2 linked regions of the Notamacropus eugenii genome follow. The protein of the gene in region 2 purifies or fractionates together with the protein of the main gene of each other region. This does not show direct contact. Links are inferred from orthologs where the notes say so. Each region holds a gene or a part of one and is shown on either strand. Other genes may lie near its edges.

Region 1 (7,867 bases), on a different chromosome or scaffold from region 2:
CCTGGATCACCCAGCTAGATAAGTGATGGAGGCAAGAGTAAGAAGAACCTGTGTCCTGAGTCCTGTATCACATGGTTCACATCATGCTTTAATTTTCATAACTTGAAGATAAATTGCACAAGCATCTTTCATCACTAATCATACTAGTATAATAAGGTCTAGGAAAGGAAAATACTCTCTCCCTCCAATAGCATAATAATGCCTTAAGAAAGAATGGGATGGGGGAAGTGGGTCTGTTTTTTAAAATTAAATCATCAAGCCATTTTTAAAGTATCTACTAAGTGCTAGGAAGTGTGGTTAAAACTTAGGATGCTGATACAAAACATGAAATTCTCTTGCCCTTGAGGATCTTACATTCTAATTAGGGGAATGAAAGGATACAAAATAGATTGATAGGATACAAAATAAACACACAGTGACTGAGGATTAGGAACAACTAGGGGGAAATCAGAAAAGGCTTCCTGAGGGAGCTACTGGTTACAAGAGGCAGAGGGGAGGAGGTACAGAATTCCAGGCATGAGGGGCAGAAAGGCAAGAGACAGAATGTCAAATAGCCAGTTTGATGTTGGGGTTGCGCGGGGGGGGGGGGGGGGATTGTGTGTCTGAGACACTGAGAGACAAAGAAACACAGGATGAAGCCAAATTATGAAGGGCTATCCATGCCAATGGACTTTGTGTTTCAGTATAGAAGGGCTGAGCAGCCTCTAATCTCCCTGACCAGAGGAGCATCATGGTTAGACATGATTTAGGACCATCAATTTGGCAACTGTATGGGGAATGGATTAGAGGGGGAATAGATTGGACATAAGGAGACCAATTAGGAGACTATAACAGTGGTCCAAGGGAGACATGATAAGCCCCTGTAGGATGGTGATTGTAGAATAAAGAGAAGTGGACAGATAGTAGAGATGTTTCAAAGGTAAAGTGGATAAGATTTGGCAACTAGTTGGATAGTGATGGAGGGGGAGTGAGAAAATAAAAAGTTGAGTATGATTTATCTAGAATGCAAACTTGAGTGTCTAAAATATAAAAAACAAAATAAGTTGGTGAGAAAGGGTAGGTACAAGATAAAGGAATACAGATAAATTTTAATTATCTTAGCAACACAAGGAAAAGCAGTAATCTTTATCTAGCAACTAAAGTGACTTGGCTGTACTTGACTTGTCAGGAAGCATGCCTTCTACTGTGAGTTCTACCACTTACTAACCATGAAATCTTGGGTAAATTTGGTCTTAATTTCCCCACTTGTAAAATCAGAGTTGAAGAAGATTATTTTTAGGGTATTACAAACTCTGTTATTCTAATTTCAAGAAACAGTGGCTGGGAAATTAAACGCAGGCAAAATTATTATTTGGTAGGAGGTGGGGAGGAGAGAGAGTCATACAAAAATATAGGAATACAAGATCTGAGATTTCCTCCTAGGCAACACCTGTTGTGGAAATTTCCTTCCTCACCAGATATATCCAATCTATGATTTAGGAGATGTCCGAGAGTTACAGGGACAGAGGTTAAATTACTTGCCCAGGGCCACACAACTAATGTCACAAATGGGACTGGAACCTAGGTCTTCTTGACTCTAAGATCAGCAAGCTACCTACTATGGCAAGCTGTTGCTGCATCTGCTTATTCATATCTACCTTATTAGTAAACTAAAGCTGATATCCTCAGCTCTCAAGTCTATCTGAAGGAATTAAGAGACTATAACCACAAGACAATCTTGGCATGACAGTCCCAGAAAGCCACCAGATTGTATTGAGCACAGAGAGCAAGATACTCTGTGTTGCTAAATCCTAATGCCTGGAATGCACTCTCTCCTTACCTCTCCCTTTTAGAATCTTTTGGTTTCTTTCATTTATCAGCTCCAGAACCAACTTTACCAGAAGTCTTTCAGATTTCCAGCTGCAAATGCCTTCACAGTTACATTGTATCAACTACAGATTCACACGTGTAAAATCTTAGCTAGTTGGTAAACTCCTGGAGGGAGTTTCACTTTTGCTACTGTATCCCTCGAGACCCCCACAACGCCGGGAGTATTGATTGTGTTACTCTCTAATATATTTCAGTGAGTTTCTTGTTGCCTCCAAAATTTCTCTTCTTCATTCATTCATTCATTCATTCATTCATTCATTCATTCATTCGCCAGGAAGGGTTTATTGAGTGGTTACTCTTTTGTAGCCCTGAGGATAGAAAGCGCTTACAGTACTTCGGGGATCTTCAGTGGAAGATAAAGGGTATGGTGACACTGCCAATAATCCCTACCTATAACAACGAATGACCTGGCGTCCCTACGACCCCAGCACTGTCCGTGCCCGCTAGTGCTGTAGCACCTGGAGACCCTGCAGAAAGAGCGGGAGACTTACCTGGGGAACCTCTGTTTCAGCTTCCTCAGGCTCTGCCTGGTAGGTGGCACAGCCACGAGGCACTGAGCTATCTCCTCGTACTGGGCCTTGGTCAATATCATGTTTGGCCCGGGAAGGGGCTGGGGGAGTGAAATGACACCCAGGGGCCGCTGCAGCCCGAAAGGGGCTGGAGACAGCTGGCACCGCGCACCCTGGGGACCCGTCCGCCCTCCGCGCAGCACGCGGCACCGCCGGGGGCGGGGAGGAGGGGCACGCGGCAGCGATCCCCAGGTTCGCCGCGGTGGCGGCCACGGTGGCGGCGGCGGCAGGAGCAGTAGCGCGGGCTTTACGCGGGACTGCCCTCACTTCTGCCCTCTGAGCAGCCGCAGAGCGCGCAAGTGAAGGCCAGTAGGCGCCATGTCAGTTAAGGGAAAAGCAACCAGGAAGTAATGCTGCAAGACGCCTGGCTGCCAGATACTCCAGCACCTCGAAGCCCGCGCTGTTGCCATCTTTCATTCCTGGGCTGGGCTTGGGCGGCTCGGGGAAGTGTCCACTCTGAACCCCGCGCCCAGAACTTCCTTAAGGGGGAAAAAATGCCCAGAAAGTGCCTTGATGGCAGGACAGGATAGTCGGTGCTCAGCCGAGCCCTGGAAAGCGGTTGTTAACGCGTTGGAGTCCGAGTTCGCTTTTGCTCGGGGTGTGCGGGGAGGTGGGGAGCAGGGCTGTGAGGAGGGACTCCCCCCAGAGCCTGGCTGGGAGAGCAGAGCGACGCCTAGAGAAATCCCCAGCACCTGAGGATGGCCCCACAGGTGCCTCGGTTTTAAGGAGCGTTGAGGACCCTACCAACATCGAGCAGCCAGAACGGAGAAACTGACTTTGCATCTTGGAAAATTAGTGTCGAGCCAGTATTAGGAATCTAGGCATCGACCGGGGCTTCTCAGACTAATTTACAAGCCGGCTTTTTCTCAGTCACAGTTTAACAAGTCAACTTTTCTCACTGGCACAGTGACAGGGCTGGATTTGCAGTTAAAAGCCAGGGGGTGAGATCCCACCTGAGGGACCTTCCACGTCACTTCACCTCTCCACCTCAGTTCTCTAGTCTTTAGAATGAGGGATTTGGACTAAAATGACCTCCAAGGTCCCTTCTAGCGCTTTGATCTACGATTTCAAATCTTAGGGAAAATTAAATAGCCCTCTGGACACTGACACTTAACTTTACTGGGAAAGTAGTGGGGGTGGGGGCATTAATTTCGATGGATCTGTTTTTTTTTTTTTCAGAAGTTTTGTTTAATGGAAGAAAGTACTTGAACTTTGGTTGAATGATACTTAAAACAGAAAGCACAGATGTTAGCTTGTCAGGTTCCCTTTAGATTAAGTATTGAGGAAATTTGGGGGACTTTTCAGTTCGTGTTTAAAAGTTTCCTTCTCATTCCCTTTCCTTTTATTTTTTTAATTGTCACAAAATCCAGTAAATAGAGACCGTCCTGTACTCATATAGCTTTCTGCCAAATGTTTACATCAGGATGTTTTTTCCCCCATATGCTTTGTATCCAGGTCTGGCTGTGTGACACCCGTGCATAACTATTTATTTATGGCAGCGGTGCCTGGAGTTGCCACCTGGCTAGTGTGTTGCTGACCCTGCCACTACTTTTACATGAAAGCTATTTGATGCTAAGCAGAAGCTGCTTGTTCCCCTTTTCCTTACCCCTTCACATCTCCTTGTACCCAATTCATAGCAGTAAGATTTTGATAGAAAACATCAGTTTAGGGAGGTTTGTAGTAATTATTTTTTTAAATAGCTTTCACACAGCTCCATCCCCTACACTCAGCTTTACAACACTGAAGGAAAAAAGCCACCTTTAATTTTTGCTAGTCATTTCACTATTTGGTCCCAAATCCTGAAGATTATTTTGGCATTAACCCAGAAGAACACAGACTAAATGACCTAAATGAGTCTCCTTTAAGAATCTGTGATTGAGCAATAAACACTCTTGCACATGCAGGTCCTCTGGTTGGGGGAGAAAATTTTGAGATAATTGGTTACAGAATATTAAAAAAAAACTGTTCAGTGACTTGTAATCTAAAACCACTTGAATACCCAATAAAATATTACTGATGGATAATTTAGAAAGGCAAAGCAAAGCTGTTGATATAATCATCCTTCACAATATTTTATGTTTACAAGTAGAAAGTTTCTTTCAGTGACTCTAAGCGTAAGGTAGAAAGCAACGAAGCCTAAATCTCATTATAAGTAAGCAACCCAAGAAAAGTAAGCTTAGTTTACTATAGAGAAGCCAACAGGAGCTTAGTAACAAATGACAATAATGAAATAACTGAAATTGTTACCTTTTTATACCTAGTTCCTCACACAGTACCTGGCACACCATAGACACCTAATAAATGCTTGTTAAATATAATACTGTGGAGTTCACAAAATGTTTCATTTACCTTTTGATTTGATCCGTACAAGAACTGTGCTAGGTAAGCACCAGACATTATCATCATTTTGCAGACGAGAAAATGGAAACGAATAGGTTAAATGACTCATCCAGGGTCATAAAATTAAAAGCTGTATAGAGAAGTAGGGCAGGGATGAATGGAAAGGGACGGGTTTCAACACAGGGCCATTGACTTATCGTTTTCATCACAAAAAAACAAATTTCCCCATCAACCCAGATCAGCACACATTTTTCATCAGGTATTATTTTTCAGGTTGATAGCTTCCCATTATCCCTCTTACCTGACTCCTCACTATCAGCTTTCTAAGGAACAGGAAAAATTAAAATGATCAAATCAATCAATCAATAAGCATTTACTAAACACATATTCCAGGCATTGTGTGCTAAACTCTAGGGATACAAAGATAAAAGTGAAAGGATCCTTGCCCCTAAAGAGCTTACCTTTTTAAAAAAAAACATTCAATTTTATTTTACTTTCAGTTCTTTGAATTTTCTCCTCTGACATCCATTCCTCCACCATCCACTGAGAAAGCAAGAAAAACAAATTTGTTAAATACATGTAGTTAAGCAAAGCAAATTCTCACCTTAGCCAAGTCTCTCTCTCTCTCTCTCTCTCTTTCTCTCTCTCTCTCTCTGTCTCGCTATCTAGCTATCATCTATCTATCTACCTATCCATCTATCCATCAAACTATAATCTGAATTAATTGTCTCTCTCTGGAAGTAGATAGCATGATTCATCATAAATCCCCTGGAGCTGTGGGTACCATCATGTAGATCAGAGTTCCCAAGACTTTTGAAGTTGTTTAAAAGAAACTATATTCTAATAGGGGAAACAACATGAAATTTAGAAGAATACAAGGTATTTGGGAGGAGGAGTGCTCTTGGAAGTGGGGGATCAGGACATCATGTAAGAGATGTCCCTTGAGCTGAGTCTTGAAGGAAAGCAGTTCCTTGCTTTCTGCTTCAAGAAGCTGAAGTGAGAAGGGAATTTCTTCCTGCCTTGAGGGAGCCAGTGCAAAGATAGGGAGATAGGAGATGCAATGTTGCATGTTCAGAACAACAAATAGATCAGTATGACGATCAAAGAGAGAGCTGGAAGGGGAATTATGAATAAGACTAAAAGCACAGGAAGGGGGAGGTTATGGAGATATGGGAATGTCAGAGTTCATACATGATCCTGAGGGTAATAGCAGAGTCACTTTAATTGATTAGGGGTGGAGGAGGGAGGTTAGTATAATCAAGACCTGCCCTTTAAGAAAATCACAGGTAGCTCTGGAGAATGGATTAGAGTAGGAAACACCTTGAGGCGAGGAAGCCAAATAGGAGGGTATTGCAGTAGTCCAGGCAGAGGTGATGAGGAATGGATTTAGGGAGGTCACTAAATAAGTGGAAAGAATTGCGTGCATGAAAGAGAAGGTGCAGAGATATAAACAAGATTTGGCAATGGATTGGATATTTGTGAGTGAAGAATTAATGATGAGACAACGGTTATGAACCTGGGTGACTACAAAGATGATAATGTCCTTGACAGTAAGAGGGAAATTCAGAAGAGGGGTAGATTTAGGAGTGGGAGGGAGAGGTATTGAATTCGGTTCTAGACGTATTAAGTTTGAGATGCCTCTGGAACATCCCATTAAAAATATTTAACAGGCACTCTATGAGGCAAAAATGGAGCTCAGGAGAAAGATTAGGACTGTATATGGAGGTCATCTGCATAGAGATGTTAATTGAACCCACGGGAACTGATAAGATCATCAAAGGAGAAGAGTCTAGAAAGAGAAGAGAACCCAGAATAAAACCTCTGGGAACTCCCACAGTTAATGAACGGAGATGGTTCAGCAAATCAGCAAAAGTTCGAGATTGGACAGGAAGGAAGGGAACCAGCAGAGTACAGAGTCACAGTAACTCAGAAAGAAGAGAATTCATGGGAGGAAAGTATGACTGACAATGTCAAAAGCTGCAGAGAAGTCACAGAGGATGAAAAGTGAGAATAAGCCATTAGATCTGGTCCCCCAGAGATCAATAGTAGCTGAAGAGAGAAGTTTCATTTGAGTGATGAGGTCAGAAACCAGATTTCAGGAATTCAAGAAAAGTATGTAGAGGAATTGCATGTAGACATCTTTTCTGAAGCCCAAAGCAAAACCAATTTTCATTAATCAGTTCAGTTGAACCATTTATTCCTTGATGAATCTGGATTATTTTATTTTCTTTTATTTTCCTCTTACTCCTGGTCCTCATAGTCACTTTTCTGTTCCTATTACATATGTACCTGTCTTCATCATCATTATTATTATAATTACATGGGAAGTACTGTAGTAGAAACTCTAGAGTCAGAGGTCCTGGGTGTGAATCCTGACTTTGTTACTTTACTACCATTGACCGTTAGCAAGTTATTTAATCTCCATGGCTTCAATGAAAGGGAGGAGAAAGATGACTGTAGTTAGTACTGTTAGTAAATTGTAGTCAGTGTTTTTAAAGATAAGGAAGACTTTAGAGGGAAAACAAAAGTGCACATGACACAGTATGTCTCTGATTTGATTAGAACCCCAGAGGTAGTAAACCATTTTAACAGTGTAGGCTAGAAAATAAAGTGACATAATTGTTGGATGAACCGAATCATTTAATCTTATGGTTGGAAGGAATCATAGACAATATCAAGTCCGGACCTCTCATTTTACAGATGAGAGACTAAAGCCCAGGAAAGTGAAATGACTTGCCCATACACAGCTAGTTAGCAAGAGATCCAGGACTGAACCCAGAGTCTTGGAATGACTTGGAAAGACAGGCAAAAAAAAAGTCTGGGACTAGAAAACAGTATGATTTTTTGTAACACAGTGTTCCTATTAAATTGGAAAGTCTGCCCTCTCTACTTAATATCTGTCACAAGAATATTTAAGAATAAATAAGGTAGCATATGGGAAGCAGTTTGAGAATTTCAGATTCATTACTGGAATTAACATAGTTATTTTCTTTGATCTGCTCCTGCTACTGAATTATTCCTAAAAATAAACTACTCACCTAACTCTTTCAATGTGCCTAAGTTCATACTATATAAAGTATATTTTCATT
Region 2 (6,960 bases):
GTACCTCCTTTCACCCAATGGTACATTCAAGAGAAATGAGCCATAACTGTTCAATAGGTCAGTTATCTCCTGTGAATGACAGTGCCAACCAAAGCAAGTATCTTGAGTTCCAAGTATACTCAGGGCAAAGTTATAGCAATGCAGAAGGATTTGGCAACTAACCTGAAAATGTTTTAGACATCTTAAAATCACAACCCTAAGCTCAAGATGCCTGGGAAAATTTTCAGGCGCCATGATTCCACAGAATGTGATTACTTTGGGACAAGATACTTGGTACAGTACCCTTTTAAGGAAGGAGTTCTGATCTTAGGTAAATGCATCCTGGATAATTTCTTGCTAAGGTTTTCCTATAACACCAGGTTCCTCATTTCTACAGCAACTATGTGCTTTTCTACCTTTTCAATTTAACTGGAGTCTAGAGCAGAGGTTCTTAATTTTTTGTGTCATGGACACCTCAGAATAATGTTTGAAAATACATAAAATGCTTAGTATTATAAAGGAAACTGGCTTTATTGAAATAGTCATCAAAATTAAAAACAAAAACCCAAGTTCATGGACCTGTGTCTTGAGGTAGCCGTCTCAGTTTATGAACTGAGTTACATCCAGTTTAAAAAAAAAAACCACAAAACAGCGCTAAACTTTAGGAGTATCTGAGTATAGTAGATCTATTTCTAAACACCTGGGTTCCACAACTTGTGGCCTATAATTTTTGTATTTTCAGGAGAATCCTGGACCAAAGGATAAAGTAAACTGCTCGATTTCTAAAATGAGCTGTTTTAGTTGTTTTTAGTTGCTTTATGGAATGTTGACAGGATTAAGTGAGAGGTGAAAAATGGTTTGTGTCAGGGAAAAAGAGGATCAGTTAACAGTTTGTTATATGGCTTCTTAGGTCTTAAAACTGGCAAGCTGTGATTTCTTAAGCCCTTTAAGCAATAGTATGCCCTCTCTCTAGTCTCTAGAATTTTGTGCAAAAGGTAGCAAAAAAGTGTAATTCAACAGGAAAATGCAAATTTCCCAGGTAATCAAATCACTAACAGATTCAGTTATGGAATTATCAAGTTCTAGTTCTCAACCTAAAAAAATCAGGCTTCCTAAACCATAAATTTTATGCCATACTTTTAAAAGAGAAGAATGGTAATAGTGTTCCAACTTCAGGAATATGACAAGAATGAAGAACACTTAGTCAGCAGCTGGGAGATCCAAATTCTAGTAATTACTATTCCACCTCACCATATGACTTTAAGCAAATTAACTAAGAATTTAGTCTCTTCAAACTGTAAACTATAAACATAATAAAGGCTAAGGCCTATATGAATAGTGTGTGGCCCTTGAAGTAAGTTAATCCAAGTGGCAAAGATGCTCTTATTAGTGGCTAAACCCCCTGGATTTTAAATTCTGTCTTTCTATATTCTGCCTTATTAAATTCTGCTATCCCCACAGGCAAAGGGATAGTCTAGTAAGAGTAAAATGGAAGTTAAGAGTATTTGAGTCTATTCCTAATTCACAGAGATTCACTGAGTAACCCTGACCATTTTGTTAGTACAATATGTAGAACACCTTTTCTCAAAGGAGAGAACCTTACTTTTTCTGTCTCAGCCTTCTCATCTGGAAAATGAAAATGGTGTTGGCTTTAATATTCTTCAGTTAAATGAGACCATCTTTAAAAGTACTTTCATGAGGGGGATGCAAAATTACAACCTACCAAGTACTTATTTTAAATGATACCTATCTTCCCAAAACCATATAGCCCCCTCTCCTAAAAGCACATTTTTGGAGATATATAACATTCTTTGCAAACTTCTAAAGCACCATATAAATGAAATGTTTAAATATTATTGCTACTCTCAAATAACAGACTCTCAACTCATGGAACTTTCTACTACTTTAGTAGCAGAGCAGTAGAAATGGCCTTTTAGGAACAAGCCAGGTAACAGCTAGCCCCTGGATACAGGGCAGGGGTCCACACTAATTCAGGCAGTTCTAGAAAAGTGTAGGGTAGGAAAGATTAAAGAATTGTCCAAGCACTGGGGCATTTAGGAACCACTTTCTAGCAAGAAAGATCAGGCGTAGTTGGGGGTAGACTGGAGACGTCATCCAGGAAGAAGCCATCTCGGATTTCATTAAAACCCTTCTTCTAATAGGTGGAAAAGGGCCACAGAAATGAATGAGGGAAGAGTAACAGGGATAACCTCCCGGAGGCTGGAAGCAGTACCAGGCAGAAGAGTGGATATCCAGGCTTACTTGAGAGCGCTGCTGACACAAAATCCTTTGCAGTAATATTAAGTCCAGAACCTCAGAGATGGACGGGGCCTCAGTGGCCCCGAGCGCTCGCTTCTCTATGGCTCATTTTAAAGCTTCCAAGGAGCCTGGTGGGCGCTATCATCATCTCAAAAGCACAGAGGAGAAATCGCAGGCTCCGAGGGTTAAAATGCCATGCCTAGGGTAACACAAACATTGAACTAAGCGCCGACCACCCAGGCCGGGGAGCGGGGAGGCAAATATCCAAGAGAGACAGGCCCCTTGCCCTCAGCGCGTTTATATTCTACTAGACCAAGAACAGAACACTTTATTAAGGTGCAGGCGGATACCAGAGGGAAGCTTTAGCATCCCACCGGGGCGGGGCGGGAGCCCGATTCGTGGGAGTCAGCATAAAGGAGTCCCCTCCGTCAGGAACGCGCGGGGGGAGACTGGGAGATCCCGAGGGGAAGGGGAGGGCCGGGGCTCACCGTCGGCCAAGGCCTCGCTGCACTCGAAGCTGATCTCGAACTGGAAGGGGCTGTGGAAAGGGCTCGGGTTCTCCAGCACCGACACGTTCAGAACCGAAACTTTGGCCATGGCCTCGCGGGGGCAGGAACGAAGCACACCCTCCAAGCAGCAGCCGCCGCCGCCGCCGCCGCCGCCGCCGCCGCCGCCGCCGCCGCCGCCGCCGCCGCCGCCGCCGCCGCCGCCGCCGCCGCCGCCGCCGCCGCCGCCGCCGCCTCCGCTCTCCCTCTCGCGTCCCCTCCGCGCGGTTTCCACACCAGAATGAGGCGGCATTCCCCGCCCCTCCCCCACTTCACCCGCCCCGCGCCCCCTTCAAATAGCCGGACCCGCCCCCCGGCCAATCCGCTCCAACGCTTTCCTCAGCGCGAGCTTCTAGGGGCCAATACGCAGTCGCCCGTCGAAGTGCGTTCAGCTTCTTCCCAGCCAATCGGCTGCCCTCCCTCGCCGGCACGCGCGCGCCCGATTCTGCGCGGATAGACGGGTGTGTGTGGCGGGAGGTGTGTGGGGGGTGTTAAGGCGCTCATCATCCCTCTTTTGGCGCCCCAGCGTGACTGCTCTCTCTTCTTGATGCCAGCCAATCCCCGGCGCCTCCGCCTCAGCAGTGGACTCGTTGTGGCAGAGCGCAGAGTGAGCGCGGGGATCCCTGGGACCAATTGGCGTTGAGGGGACGGCCTTCGGGACGCGCGCTCGTCCCCGCCTCTTTTTTCCTTCCGTTTGCGCTCCTTTTCCCTTCGGTGTACGGAGGGGGCGGGGGAGAGGAAGCAGAGCCGCTAACTGCCGAATGGGGGCGCGAGGCGCTAGCGGAACACTACGGGTTCCCGTAGTGATTGACAGAGGGGGGAGGAGAAAGAAGAGTTGTGCCCAAAGGGGATTGGTCAAGCCGGTCTTGAGGGGGCGGGAGCAGGCGGAAGGTGAACCCGTAGTGTGCTGAAGCGGCGGTTACACTCAAGCACCGTCTTCGGTCGCGCCTGACGTTCTCCGCCCCTTGTGAGCGTCGTGGGCGGTTGGGCGGAGAGGCGGATAAGCCCAGCCTTCTGCCCGGGGAGCCTCCGGGGCCTGCAGCCGGTAGTCGTGTTCGCTCTACCTCCGGCTCACTCCGTGCCGCAGCCGGGGTCGGCCCGCGGAAACGTCCGATAGCCGCCGTGTCTGGAGCCGCTGAGACCTCAGAGATGGTTTAGTCCCACCCCTTGTGTTTACAGCCGAGGCCCAAGGTCACACGGACTGTTCTGGACGGAGGCTGGATCCCAGCCCAGGCCCATCGCGTCACGCAGGAAGCAAGTGCAGTAGCGGCAGTTGGAGCCCAGGCAGTGACCGCAGAGCTCCTTTCACCGAGTTCTACCAGCATTTCGAATTTTAGGCCTGTTTAACTTACGCAAAGGATGCCTTGTAGGTATCTGCCTCCACCGGTCCAGAACTTCTCTTGTAACTTTCCCTTGGAATCACACGTGGGAGTCTTCAACGAGTCGGTCTGTCTTCCCTTCCATGGTCAGTCAGCTGTCAACTCTCCAGATCCGGCCAAATCTCCATTCTGGCATCTGCCTCCCATCAGTCTCCTTCACAAAGGCCACTTCCCTAGTAGAGAAGCTCATTACCTCTGGCCTGGACTCCTGCTGTAGCTTCCTCATTGGTCTCCCAGTCACGAGTCTCTTCCCCTCTCCAGTCATCTACCACACAGATTCAAATGTGATTTTTCTCCCCTCAATATGACCTTACATAGGTTCCCCCCAAACTTGGAGTGCTTTCGTCCCTCACTTCCATCTTTTATGTCCCTTCCTTTAAGGCTTAACTCCTGTGTCATCTCCTGGAAGAGGCCAATCTTTATGTGTGCCCCTCTCCATCCCCCACTTTGCTAATCCTTTCCCTCCATTAGTGTATGTTTTGTATTTATTCGTGTATGAGTTGTCTCTCCCCAAAAGATTGAAAACTCTTTGAAAGCAGTGAATCTTTGTTTCCTTAAAGTCAACTAATATTTAAGCCCCTGCTATGTGCCAGATACCTCGGTAAGCTCCACAGTCACTCTGCTGAGAGCCCCTGGCAGAATCCCCAGCTCATAGTAGGCTAAGGATACTGACATTTAGTGCCTAGAGCTCAGAACCTAGCACAGTGTCTGACACATAGTAGGCGCTTAGCAGATACTTGTTGAATGGATGGAATGGTATAGACTGAGTCAGTAAGAATTCAGTTCTAATCCTGTCTCTGACATAGGTTGTGAGACAGTGGGCATATCATTTAACATCTTAGACCCTCACTTTCCTCATCTGTAATATGCAGTAATAGTACTTAGCTCACTTCTTCACAGGACAGTTGTGCCTTGTGTACATTGTGTGTTTGTCCTTCATTCTCAAAGAGGACCATGACATCAAGATGATGACATGACTTGCAGTTGACTTTGATTTGAGTGAGGGAGGGCTGTGCAAGGTCATCAGCCTCACTTTCTTCTCCAGAGCCATCTGACTCCAGTGGCCTGATATTCATCAGGATGACTGGAGATGGCTCAGGATGCAATGGGAGACCCTGGTCATAATTGATGCTTAATAAATTATTGCATGAAGGAATGTCTCAAGTGATAATGTGTGTAAAGTACTCTTCTGACTTTAAAGCACCATACAGATCTTGGCTAACATGACCTAAAGTATGAAAGGTACCTGAAATTGAAGATGAAAATTTGAAGATGAAAAATATTTGAAGTACTTTAAATATTGAAGTACATATAAGTACTGTACTGGGATACCAAGTTTAAAAATACCAGTCTCTATCCACATCCAGAGAACAATGGAATCAGAATGCAGATTGAAGCATACTAGTGTCTCTCTCCTTTTGTTTTTTCTTTCTCCTGGTTTTTCCCTTTGGTTCTAATTCTTCTTTACACTCTGACCAATGTGGAAATATATTTAATATGATTGTACATGTATACCTTATATCAGATTGCAGGTTATCTTGGGGAGGAGGGTGAGGGGGAGAAAATTTAGAACTCAAAATCTTATAAAAGTGAATGTTGAAAACTAAAAGTAAATTTAAAAAAATATATATTTAAAAATATTGGTCTCTGCCTTCAAAGAACTTAGGTCTACTTGGAAGTGAGGATAGGGTAGACTAGAAAGCGTAATGCAAAGTAGAATGTAATGGGGCAAAGGAAGGTTCAAAGTACTCTAGGAATATTTGAAAGGAAGGAGATACTCAATTGGAAAGATCTGATGTTCCAACCTCCTCATTTGAATATTGGGGGCCTGAGAGAGGAAATATAAGTGGTAGAATTGGGACAATAATTGCTTACAATTTTAAAGAAATTTAAACTTTATAAATCATTAAACTTTATAATTACACAACTATTTGTCTACTGCAAATTTATGTTCTACAACCTCAACTGGGCCCTCACTGCTGCTAGGCAATCTTTCTATACCTCCCTTATCAAGTCTTTATCCTACTCCACAGTTTCTCTTCCAAAGCTCCCTCCTCAAACATTCCATGGCTCCTCCTTCCCCACCCCTCTCAGTTGAGATCCTTGCCTCATATTTTACAGAAAAAAATTAAGACCATTTTCCCTAAGTTCCTTCTCCCTTTTTCCTCACCTCCCATCATTCAGATAGTTCTGCCACTATCTCCTTCACCTGTCAGATCCTAAGGGGATCCGACTCCTTACCAAGGCCAGCCCCTCTGCCTGAACAGGTGATACTATTCCATCCCCCACCTCTGTGAGTGGTCCCCACTCACTCATCTTTTTTTTAATTAGAAAATTTTATATTGCACAATCTATTTCCATAGTACTCATATTATTTTTTAAAGCAAGAAAAATAAAAGAGAATATTCATTAGTTCTCTTTCTGGAGGTGGATAGTATTTTTTAATCTTGAATCCTTTAGAATTATCTTAGATCATTGTATTGATCAGAGTAGCCAAGTCTTTCACAGTTATAACTTTGTTACTGTGCACAATGATTTCCTTGTTCTTCTCACTTCCCTTTACATCATATTTTTTCTGAAACCACCCCCTTTCATTATTTCCTAAAGCACAATAGTATTCCATCACAATCTTATATTACTTGTTCAGCTGTACCCCAATTGATAGGCATCCCAATTTCCAGTTCTTTGCCACCACAAAAAGCTGCTTTATTTTTGTACGCATAGGTCCTTTTCCTTTTCCTTTGATCTCTTTGGGATACAGACCTAGTATTGTTATTTCTGTGTCAAAGGGTTTGCAC

What was found. Proteins that work in one complex are often made in the same cells at the same time.
Region 1: the proteins of ASF1B (region 2) and CDIN1 purify together in Homo sapiens (affinity purification with mass spectrometry; 4 studies listed by BioGRID and IntAct, counting the BioPlex papers as one, with this or other methods). This does not show direct contact. The link is inferred for Notamacropus eugenii from reciprocal best matches to the Homo sapiens genes ASF1B and CDIN1.

The regions. Positions count from the first base shown.
Region 1 is NC_092878.1:21,609,557-21,617,423, reverse strand, and holds the start of CDIN1 (CDAN1-interacting nuclease 1), read right to left. Parts: upstream 3,089-7,867; 5' UTR 2,462-3,088; coding exon 2,361-2,461; intron 1-2,360. UniProt on the Homo sapiens protein: Plays a role in erythroid cell differentiation.
Region 2 is NC_092875.1:76,827,832-76,834,791, reverse strand, and holds the start of ASF1B (histone chaperone ASF1B), read right to left. Parts: upstream 3,048-6,960; 5' UTR 3,037-3,047; coding exon 2,727-3,036; intron 1-2,726. UniProt on the Homo sapiens protein: Histone chaperone that facilitates histone deposition and histone exchange and removal during nucleosome assembly and disassembly. Cooperates with chromatin assembly factor 1 (CAF-1) to promote replication-dependent chromatin assembly.